Linked DNA regions of Lonchura striata. The protein of the gene in region 3 purifies or fractionates together with the protein of the main gene of each other region. This does not show direct contact. Links are inferred from orthologs where the notes say so. Each region holds a gene or a part of one and is shown on either strand. Other genes may lie near its edges. The genes, in order: YWHAE, TRAF7 and MAP3K2.

Region 1 (3,745 bases), on a different chromosome or scaffold from region 3:
GAAGCAAATATTTTTCTGGACTTGACACCTAATTTTCACCTTAGTCCATGATGTCTTTGTTTTTAAGAAATCCTGATTAGATGATCCTGATCTGTGAAAAAGAGGGCCTAAGTATCCATTGAAAACAGAGTATTTATTTTCTGAGTAAGTGATATAAAAATAATTCTGTCACATGTTTAGATTTATTTGTAAGAAAAACATAAGGTTATGCTGATCTTGCAGACCCTAAAACTCTTGTTCATCAACTGAAAAAAAATAAGTCAGGCCAGCAATAAACTACTGAAAAAATGTGCTTTGAATGGTGTTCAAGGTGTGTGCCCTCAGTCACCCATCAGGAGCCCATTTCAGTGCACACAATACAATAAATGGGGATACCTGACTTTGTGTCCAGCAGGTGCCAGGGGCAGCTCTGTCTCTGCTGTCAAAACTTGCAGAGGTCTCTGTGCACTTCTCCCAGCAGTGAAATGATGGGAGAGCATCTGTAGTCTGCACTTCCAAGGAGACACTGGGGAAAGAGACAAGACTTCATTCATAGCTACCCTGAGCAAATCATAGAATCATGGAATGGTTTGGGTTGGAAGGGACATTAAAGCTCATTTCATTCAAATTCTTCTGCCATGCCATGAGACCAGGTTGCTCCAAGCCCCATCCAGCCTGGACTTGAACACTTGCAGGCATGGGGATCTTTGAAGATCAAGTTCATGCCAGCCATGCATAATCCCTTTTCTTTTTCTAAAACCATTCTAATTCCAGAAATTGAGGCATTATCTCAGTTATTTAAGTGAATGCTCCTTTTGTTTTTCAGAAGTACTGTGTGAGGAACTTGTGAAATTTGCTTTCTAGATTTCCTAGCCTCTTGAAACTGAAATTACCTCGTGCTATGCACTGGAGGTGATACTTAGAGCAAATACCCTGGAGAGGCTGTAGAAACCTGTATCTGTCCGTCTGCCTTTCGGTCACAGATCCACCCTTCCATGTGCAGCACACGCGGTGATTTGTACCCAGATTCCGAGAGAGGGTAACTCAAACAGCGCTGTCAGCGTCTGAGGGCAGCACAAACGCGGAGAGATGGAGCCGCCCTGAGGGAAACGCCACCGGCGGCCGGGCCCGCTGCCCATCGCCATGTCCCGGTCACGGCCCCGCCAGGGCCGGCGGGGGAACGGCGGATCCATCCCCGCCATTGCCGGGCCGCCTCATCCTTCACCCCGCGTTATTCCTCACCCGCCTCACCCCTCACACCGCTTCACCCACCCCGCCTCACACCGCCTCATCCACTCTGCCTCGCCCCTCACACCGCCTCACCCCTCCTCATCCCGCCTCACCCCTCACACCGCCTCATCACTCATCCCGTCTCATCCCGCTTTATCCCTCACACCGCCTCACCCCATTTATCCCTCACCCTCCTCACACCGCCTCACCCCCTTCATCCCTCACGCCGCCTCATTCCCTTTATCCCTCACACCCCTCACGCCGCCTCACCCCGCCCCCCGCCCGTTGCCAGGGAGCCGCCGTTGCCATGGGAGGCGGCGGGGCGCATGCGCGCGCCCGCGGGAGTGCCCGGATGCAGCGGGAGGAGGCGCTGCCGCCATATTTGCCCGGAGAGCAGCGAGCTGGTAGCTGCAGAGCCCCCCGGACCCATCGGCTGCCATCCGCCCCGCGCAGTCCCCGCCGCCGCCCCGCCCGTAGGACATGGACGATCGGGAGGACCTCGTCTATCAGGCCAAGTTGGCTGAGCAGGCTGAGCGCTACGATGGTGAGCGCGCTGGCTCCGGAGGCCGTGCACGGCCGAGGGGAGAGGGAGGGAGGGAGGGAGCGGCCACAAAATGGCGGCTGGGCGGGGGAGGGGGGCAGGGGCGGAGGAGGGGGCGCACACAAAATGGCGACGGGGAGCGCCCTGAGGGGCCGCTGGAAGCGGGGATGGGGGGCCCGGGCGAGGGGGTGTCTCGGGCCGGGGCGGGGCCCGGGGCGGGGGGCGGTGGCGGCAGGAGCCGGGAATAAAATGGCGGCCGCGAAGGGCGAGTCCTGGAGGGGGGGCAGGGGAGCCGCCCCCGCCTCGGGGGCTCCACAAAGAGACCCCGCTGTCCCTCACGGCGGTCCGGCCGGCCCCGGCCCCGCGCTGCCCCGGCCGGGCGGCGCCGGGCGAGGGCGGCTCGCCGCAGACAACGCCCATGCCGAGCGCTCCGGAGGGGGAGCCCGGCGCTCGGCCCCTCTCCGGCCGTGCTCCTGGGGGTCCCCGGGGACGGGGCTGCGCTTCTTTTTTGCCTCTACCCCCGCTGGAGATCCTGCTGCCCCTGGCAAACCCAGAGAGAGCGAGTTCTCACCCTGCAGGGAGCGAGTACATGATTCACTGCCTAAAGAAAACGCGTTCATTATGTGGTAGAAATTATTACAGGTAGTTTTACTTACCCAGCGTTTTCTTTTTATCCTTTTCCCACCCCTCTAAGTTTGTGTGCTATCCCTGATCATTTAATATCCGTGATGATTTAATATCTGGGGGAAAAGTGGTAGAGGGGAGGAACTGGCAACCCTGGGTGGTGTCTCTTGCCCCAAAAATGTCTGTCTTGCAACCTCTCTTTTTAAACATGGTTCCCCTGCATATAATAGAAAGGACCTTTAATTTTCTCGACTCTTCTGAGACTGTTACTTTGCCCTGAGAGCTGTGATTACTCATTTGAAGTGAAATAAATATATGTATATAGAATGTGTGAATGCAGTAACACCTCATTTAGAGAGGTAAGAAGACACTCCAAATGCTTTCTGTTCAAAAATTTTTGTAGACAACACGACCAAGTTCTCAACAAATGACACATTTTTACTGAGTTGTGCTTAAAAAACATCTGATGGCAAAAAACATCCGATGGCACCATTGCAGAACATCTGAAAAATACACGTTTTGGAGAGAAAAAGAGAAACTAAAACAAAAAGAAGGCCTAAATAAAACTCCATTCATTTAGAGCTCTGATGGGAAAATAGTTTAGAATTCATAGTACCACTAAAGGAAAGCAGTCAGGCAGTCTCTGCAATAACTGAAAGACTTGGAGAATGAAAATGCCTCCCAGAAACCAAGTATTGGGGTACCATAATTACCTTGTGCAGAGGGACACATGCATATTGCACAGAATGTGTGCAACTTCTGCTGAGGAGGGAAGGAAAGGTTCTCCACCTGGTATGAATGAGTCAGTGCCACTGAAAGTGTTGGCTTTGGTTTGAGTGGAAACCAAACATCCTGGAGGAATCATCATCCTTGGGAGCTCTTGAGGCATGACTGTCTTTCTGGGGTTTTCTGAAGTCAGCAGTAAATCATTTTGTTAGAAGGTAATAGGACTCTACCCTGTGGCACAGATCTGCAATGCAAACTTCCTGTCAGCTGATAAAAATTGATTGGGAAGGATTATTGCCTTGGTGCAGCGTTTCCCTGGGTTCTCCCAGTACCATGAATGTTGGCTAAACAAGCTGCCCAGAGCAAAATGTGGAAGACTTGTTGTGCTGTATTGTTTCTGAATGGGCATGATGCTTGTTACAACTTGAAGTTGTCTTGTTTAAATCAGTGCTGTGGGTTTTGGACTTCCAGAGGTTTTAAAAATCAGGTTGGGTCAACATAATTCTGCCAGCTGCTCTAAATGCATCTTCACTTCCCTCGTGTCCATGGCCTGGAAGAAAATGTACCGTAGATACTGTTTTATCATTTAATTTTCTGTTCCTGTTCAGCTGAAACAATTAAAAATGATTGGCATAATTTGTTCTT
Region 2 (3,745 bases), on a different chromosome or scaffold from region 3:
GTGTGGCAAGCACATTTCTCTCTCAAGATTTTTCATAGAGGTGCACAGAGAGAAATGAAAGAGAAAACAATTTCTATTTCTGCTCCTTGTTTTGCCCATGTGGAATGTGTTTGGAGAATTGTTTACCTGGGGTGATTGCTTGATTAGATTCTGGTGAGGATTGTTTGAGCCTGACAGCCAATCCAACCCACCTGGGGCTGCGCTCTCAGAGAAGGTCACGAGTTGAGTTAGGGTCAGAGAAAGTAGTATGTAGTTTTAGTACCCTCCTTTTATATAGTATATTAATGTATTTTAGCATAGTTATAATAAAGAAATAATTCAGCCTTTTGAATTGAGTCAGACATCCTCATTTCTTCCCACTGGGTTCACCTGCATTTACAATAGCTGTGCTTGAGGCAAAGCAGGAGCAGCTTGAATGGGTAATTTGGGGTGCTGCTGCCTTTAGGCTCCAGGGGGACTTGTTGGGCTCAAAGAGGGGTGACACGTACCCGTGTGAGCATCCAGCTGCCTCCCTCCTTGTCCCAGCTTCCCTACACCCCCTGATCCAAGCCACGGGCACAGGGACTGCTGGTGTGTGCAGATAAAAACCGGGAGGGAAGAGCTCCAACAGACTGAACACGGACCAGGAAGGATTTTCTCTCCTGTGCACTCCTCCTGCCACACCTGGGCTTGGCCGGGATAACCCGTGAGAAAGGCACAGTCACGCTCCAGGAAATGCCACAGCCAGGCCAGCAGGGCTCGGAAGGTCCCTGGCAGCAGGGGAAGGCTCAGCCCTCGGGGTGACCGATGGCTGAACCCCACTGGGGCTGCAGAGCGCCCAGGAGCAGCCCCAGGAGCAGGGCAGGGCTGGCAGCAGCACACGGAGCTCTGCAGCCACCCAGAGCCTGCAGGGCTCCCCGAGGCCCTGGCAGAACCTCGGGGAAGGGAAGGGCTGACTGCAGGCAGGGGACACAAACTTCCACCTGCAGCTCACACGTGGCTCCAGGCCACCAGGGGCTGTGCTGCCCCAGGAGTGCTCACCCTGGAATCCCCCAGCTCAGGGAACCAAACCACCCCAAAACCATGGATTGGTTTGTTGTTTTTTTTTCCTTCCTTGAGCCCAATCAATATGAAAACCCCTGTTTGAGTATGAGCAATGAAGGTATCAGCATCCCCTGCCTGGAAACACCACTGTGGCTCAGGTTTCCCATTTCCACGGGGTAAAACGTTCCCTCCTTGAGGCAGTGTCGCCTGCACACAAACCAAACCCAGCGCTGGAGCTTCAGCCTGTCCCTTCCCTGCTCCACACAGGGGACCCAGGGCCTGGAGGGAATCCAGCAGACTGCAGACAGGACCCGCTCCTGCAGCTTCCTGCAGGATTTTAGGGATTTCCCTTGCCAGGGGAGGTGCAGGTTGCACATCAGGAGGAATTTCCTCATGGAAGGGGCTGCCCAAAGAGGTTTGGAGTCTCCATCCCTGGAGATGTCCAACGTGGCACTCAGAGCTCTGGGCTGTGATCAGTCACAGGATGGACTCTGTGGTTTTGGAGATTTTTTCCAACCTAAACAATTCTGGGATTCTGTGATCTGAGACTACTTTCACCCATCAAAGGCTTTCTGGAACCATCCTTCACCCCCAAACCCTCTCCTGCAAGCCCCACCATCCTCGCTGTGGCTGGAAGGAGCAGCCAAAAACACTTGAGGCCAAAATGCTGCAGCTTTTAAAGCTGTTTAAGAGGAACCCGAGTGCTCAGTGCAGCCTGGAAACACATCGCTGGGGGGGGAAAACACGCAGGGAGGCAGAATTACACTGCTGGGATTGAAACAAAGGCACAGCAACGTTACCAAAGTGGCAAAGACAACTGCTGGGTCACAGTTCTTGGGACAATTCTGGAGCCACTCCTGTAACACCCACCGGCCCTGCCGCTGCCTCTGAGCCCAGCAGAGCTCCAAAGGAAGGGGAACCCAAGGGAAATGCTCCCCGCTGCCCTTCCCAGCACACGGCTCAGGGATCCCAGAGTTTGGCAGCGTTTGTCAGCGGGACAGCGGCTGCAGCGGCGGGGGACAGAGCCCCAGAGCTGGCTTGAGGCGAGGTTGGCACAATGCACAGCCCATAAGGGCAGGGGACAGAGCCCCAGAGCTGGCTTGAGTAGAGGACAGGTCGGCACAATGCACAGCCCGCAGGTCACAGCCCCGACCCACACCTGCACCTCTGCGGCAGCCACGGAGAGCCACTCCCGGCCAGCCCACGCTGTGAACACTGTGGGCCCAAAGCCCAGCGAAACGAGGCTCCCGGGAGGGCAGGGAAACACCGGCAGCAGCAACACGTGCTGCGGTCGGGCACGGAACGGAGCGGAAAACGACAAAACCGAGCAGAAAAAGCCGCAGCTACGCGATGACACCCAGCCAACACACCGGCGGCAGTGAGCGGGGCCGGAACAGCGCAGAGGATGCTCCAGCTGCTCCGAGCGCCCCACAGAGCCGCCGGCACCCCGGGCACAGCGGGCGGCGGGCACCGGGAGCCTCCGCCGGCCCCTCCGCGGCCCGCGGCCCTGCCCCTCCCGTGGCGGAGCCGCCCGGCGCGGCCCGCCCGGCGCCCCCCGGCCCGCCCGTACCTCCCAGCGGCGGCGGCGGCCGCAGCGCCGGTGCCCGGTCCCGGCACATCGCGCCCGGGCCTGCTCCTCACCGGCGCCCGGCCCGGAACTGCCGCGCGCAGCGCTCCTCGGGACTTGTAGTCCCGTGCGCCGCTTCCTGCCTGTTCTGCCGAGTCGCATGGACTACAACTCCCAACACGCCCCGCGGAGAGCCACTCCATGCTACAACCGCTGTTGCTACTGGTTCTGCCCGGCCTACTGCAGTGACCAATCAGAAGGTGGCAACTACCGCCTCGGGCCACGCTGCGCTGCGCGTCGCCATTGGTGGAGAGGAGAACAGCGACCAATCAGCGCTGCTAGAGGTGGGGCGGTGGTCACGCCAACCGCTGGAGATTGGCTGTGCCCACAGCAGGCTGACCAATAGTGGCGTGGCAGTGGCCATAAAAAACGTAGCGTGGCGCGAGCACGTTCTTTCCAGCCAGAGGCGCGGCGCAGGAGAGGACGAGGGGTGAGGGAAGCGCGGCCGGTACCGGCGCTATTACCGAGGGCGGGCCGGTGATGATCCACACTAACCTTTCTGACACCTCGTCTGAGGGCGGCGGGCGGCCGCAGCCCCTGCTGAGCAGCCCCTGCTGAGGCCCGCGGAGCCGCGGCCCGGCGGGGCGGCCGGGCGGGCTCTGCCCTCACGCGCTGCCTTCTCTCCCCTCAGGGCTCGGCGGGAACCGGCGGCGGCGTCCCGGAGGCTCCGTGCCCCGTCCCGGCACTCCCCGGCGGTCTGGGCCGCTCGAAGGCGGCGTTCGTGATAGCAAAAAGGTTTTTAAATCGTGGGGATTTAGGGTTAGAAGGAAAATTAAGCTTATTAGGCCCTGAAAAAATACCCTGGGTACATGTAGGCCTTGTACATTGCTAGAACAGCACCTCTGTAGCTAGTACATTATAAATGATATAATTGTTAGATGTGATGATTGTTTAGTAATTAAATATAATTACTGTTTAATCGTAAGAATAATCATGAGAAACTGGTCAGAGGCCTAGGGAAGTTCACGAGAAACTCGTGCTTGAATAAAGTCAATGTATACAACAGAACAATGTTAGCTTAATAATTTGTAAGTTACAGCAAATATTAATGAATTAATAATTAAATATTAATTAATTAATAATTTAAATTCGCAA
Region 3 (3,745 bases):
TAGTTTGCCTAATTAGACAAACCTAGAGTCACTAGGCAATACACATATTTACATTAGCTTGTCACGCATATGAAAACACATTACATTTTCTGCAAATGTATTTAAGATGTACTTAACTACATCAGTCACATTTTCATCATTCATTTATTTTTCTCCAAGTCTAAACAAAAGATACTGTTAGTAGTACAGAATATCTAAGAAGATATTATTATAAAATATGTTCATTACTCCAAACTAAATGGGGATCTATGGATACTTCTCCACAGATCAGAACACCATTGGCTGTGTGTTGTGGAAGAGGGGGAACAAATGAAGGAAATCAATCTAAGTTCAGAGGATGACCAGTTAGACAGCCACCAAACAACTTGTCACGAAAACAGATTACTCATGACTTTTGACTTAGTTTGCTGAGGCAAAAAGTTAGCCTACAGTTATAATATGAAAGAAAAAAATATAAAACTGCAGATTGCCAAGATTTCAAAGCCTTTTTCTTCATAGTCCTTCACAAATACTTCTCATTAATGACAAGGTTTTAAAAACCAGTAATTCTGATTTGTATCTAAATATTAATAACTTATAGGAAATGATCAGGAAAAAATGTGATGTAAAAACTGTAACTGTGGACTAAAACTTCTGCTTCACCAACTTGCTTGCTTCCTCCAGAGAAAACTATAATAAAACAATCTCTCCTGCATTTAGAGTCACTAGGCTTTAAATTCCACAAGCATGTGGACTGACTGGCTTTCCCAATATTCATAGCAAATAACCCCTGATACATCTATGACCAAAATTGAAAGGTTATTCATTTTTTACCATAAATTAGTATTATCAACATAAAAACAAAACAAAAAAGCTTGCTTACTGATATTAAACAATAACATAATGCTCATTTCACTACATGAATAAATTCTGTCACAGCTCTCTATTTAATAACATTTACTATAAAACTCCTAAGATTACCAAGCTATTTTGGAAAAAAAGATTCCTCTGACAGTTTAGAAATCTCAGCAAGCCAAGGCAAGCAATGCAAAAATTTCTATTTTCTTCATCTTGCTCTTCTATTAGTGCCAGGTAAACCACCTGTTCAAATACCAACACAGAGTTCATCAAGGCAAACTCTACACAGATTTTTCTTCTCAAGCAATGAGTCAATCTGACAAATGTTATCTTCCTGTTCTGCTTTATCAACACACACTAAAACCTCGGGGTGGGGGGGGGGAGGATCAAATTAATTATACACAGCTTTGCTACCTGAATCAAATCTGGGGTCAATACGTATTGGTGGCAGTCATTACAGAAAACAGTGTAAAGGAAACAGGAATTATAGCAAGTTCTGACTTTTAAATAGATTTCTGAGGAAATCAGTTATTTACAAAGTCACGGTAAGGAAAGGTATGGGTGAAAGCAGGAAAAGATAGTGACGAAAAAGAATTATTCTAAGGTTTTTCAGTGTGGTACAAATACTAGCTCATCAATGTCCTTTCCCTTAGAATTATCCCTAGGGAATTCCACAGGAAAGAATACTTTCTCGGGTATCTCCTTAGTAAGTGCTTCGCCACAAGAGAACCCAAGGTATTGTGCAAGACAAGCCTGTGGCCATTCACTCTGGTAATACGTCTCTGCCATACACACAGCAATACAATTCTGGAGGCCTCCAACGCTCTGCAACGTGCTGCATTGTTTAAAGAAAAGAAACGCTGTAGTTGAGAGACGTTTTCTGCGCGGACTAGAAATCCCCCTTGTTTTAAGGCAGGCTTCTATTATCTTTTACCACCCTCTTAAAGGACAGTGCATGATACAATACAGCTTAGAAGCTCCCAGCTAATTTAGCGCTTTGATCTTCAGTAATGCCACAGCCAAAAACTAAGAAGAGATTTACGAAGCAAGAGAAACCAAGGGGGGAAAAAAAAGGCAGAAAAACCTCCCAACCTCGTGGGTGCTGCAATGCACTTCAAAAGCAACACGGGAATAAATAATCAAACATTCACTTTTTCCCCTGACAAAAACATCTCGCAGAATCTGACCTACATACCCAATTCACAGCACTACCACTGCAGAGCAATTCCAAGACGAGAAACCACAGCATCAGCGAGCAAACACAGGAAGGTTCAGGGTGACACAGAAATACTCGGCAGGCACGTAAAAACACTTCAGGTAATGCAGCGGTAATGTAAGGGAGCAACATTAGCGCGTGTCTCCCGGCACCGCAAACAACTACGGTGCCGCGCAGCTCCACCCGCACCGGGCCGGGTTCGTGCTGCCCCCGGCCCCGGCACCTCCGGGACCGGCCCGGGGCCCGCAAGGCGCCGGGGCAAAGCCGCCCCGCGGTTCGCACGCGCTCGGGCCGCCGCGCCCGCCCCTCCCCGCACACCCACCTATGTCACGGCGGAGGCCGGGCGGCCGCCGGGGACCCCCCGCGCTTCCCGGCGGCGGCGGGAGCAGCCCCGGCTGGGCGGGCGGCGCGGAGGGAGCGGCCAGGATTCCGGAGCGGAGCCCACCCCCCCGGGGGAGGGGGGGAAAGGGCCCGGGGCCTGCCCGCGCCGGAGCACGGCGGGGACGGTGACAGGCGGCGCCGCGGCCGGCGCGGAAGGAGCGGTGCGGCTCGGCGGGCGGAGAGGAGCGGGCAGGTGCCCGGGGGCGCTGCGGCCGCGGCGGGGCCGGGCCGGGCCGGGCCGGGGGTCCCGTCGGGCGTGAAGCGCCGCGGCCGCCGCTGCTGCCGCCCGCGAGCTCCGCCCCGCGCGCGCCGGGCCCCGTGACGGGAGGAGCGCGAGGCGTCACCGCGCGGCGGCGTCACGGACGGGGGGCGGCGCGCGCCCGGCGGCTGCGGGGGCGCGTGCGCGCCGGGACGCGCCCGGGGTTCGAGTCCCGCCGGGGACGCCCCGCGGCACCCCCGGGCCGAGGGCACCGGGGCCGTGTGGCTCCGCCGCAGCGCCGCCGGACAGGCCGGTGGGTCAGCTCACCGCTCCCGGACAGCCGAGTGTAAGAGAAGCCCGGGCTGGTGCCGTTCCGCGGGATCGGCGCCGTGCGAGGGCAGGATGGGAAGGGGCAGCGCGGTCCCACCACTGCCATCGCTCACTGTATAAATCCCGGCCCCGCCGCAGCCCGGCGCAGGACGCGCCGCCCTGACCTGCCTCTTATGGGGGCTGTGCGCGCTTTTAGGACGATTTGTTTAGAACGGCGCTCTGCCGCCTTCGGGACGCCCATTTCTGCCGGCACAGACTGACCGCTCCGCAGGAGGCACCTGCTTCCCGCAGGAAGTCAATGCATGCAAGGAAGAAGGATGCTACCCTCAGTTAATCAGCGAGGAAGCAGTCCCTGGTACGTAGCAGGCCAGCTATTACAGCTACCCTTGCGGTCTTAAGTAGCCGATGACGGTGAATAATAGCATGGCACTGTAATTAGTTTTGTACAGATTTACCAGTAACCTTACAGGCATGACTACTGTGTGCGAGATGCACAAATGACCTGTGCATGTTTAGTGGATGCCCTTTGAGACACTGCCAGGCCCGGTGTGTTCACACAGAGCTGTACAGAGACAGCAGCGACCTTTGCTGGGGCACCTGACTCCACTGCTGCTCACATGCTGCTTTCTGGGCATGTGCTAAGAGGTATTTAACATGTAAGACAGCAAGAGGTTTGCAAATCCTGAACAAGCACTCAAAATCTACCCAAAACAAGGGTTGGGGGCTACATTGGTCACCCTTAACAAACATGTGAAATAATACTTGAACAGAAGTTTAAGATT

The links.
Region 1: the proteins of MAP3K2 (region 3) and YWHAE purify together in Homo sapiens (affinity purification with mass spectrometry; 6 studies listed by BioGRID and IntAct, with this or other methods). This does not show direct contact. The link is inferred for Lonchura striata from reciprocal best matches to the Homo sapiens genes MAP3K2 and YWHAE.
Region 2: the proteins of MAP3K2 (region 3) and TRAF7 purify together in Homo sapiens (affinity purification with mass spectrometry; 3 studies listed by BioGRID and IntAct, with this or other methods). This does not show direct contact. The link is inferred for Lonchura striata from reciprocal best matches to the Homo sapiens genes MAP3K2 and TRAF7.

What each region holds. Positions count from the first base shown.
Region 1 is NC_134622.1:6,750,143-6,753,887, forward strand, and holds the start of YWHAE (14-3-3 protein epsilon), read left to right. Parts: upstream 1-1,557; 5' UTR 1,558-1,689; coding exon 1,690-1,753; intron 1,754-3,745. UniProt on the Homo sapiens protein: Adapter protein implicated in the regulation of a large spectrum of both general and specialized signaling pathways. Binds to a large number of partners, usually by recognition of a phosphoserine or phosphothreonine motif.
Region 2 is NC_134618.1:16,965,493-16,969,237, reverse strand, and holds the start of TRAF7 (E3 ubiquitin-protein ligase TRAF7), read right to left. Parts: upstream 2,702-3,745; 5' UTR 2,594-2,701; intron 1-2,593. UniProt on the Homo sapiens protein: E3 ubiquitin and SUMO-protein ligase that plays a role in different biological processes such as innate immunity, inflammation or apoptosis. Potentiates MAP3K3-mediated activation of JUN/AP1 and DDIT3 transcriptional regulators.
Region 3 is NC_134610.1:14,453,294-14,457,038, forward strand, and holds the start of MAP3K2 (mitogen-activated protein kinase kinase kinase 2), read right to left. Parts: upstream 2,477-3,745; 5' UTR 2,376-2,476; intron 2,155-2,375; exon of another isoform or gene 2,069-2,154; intron 1-2,068. UniProt on the Homo sapiens protein: Component of a protein kinase signal transduction cascade. Regulates the JNK and ERK5 pathways by phosphorylating and activating MAP2K5 and MAP2K7. Plays a role in caveolae kiss-and-run dynamics.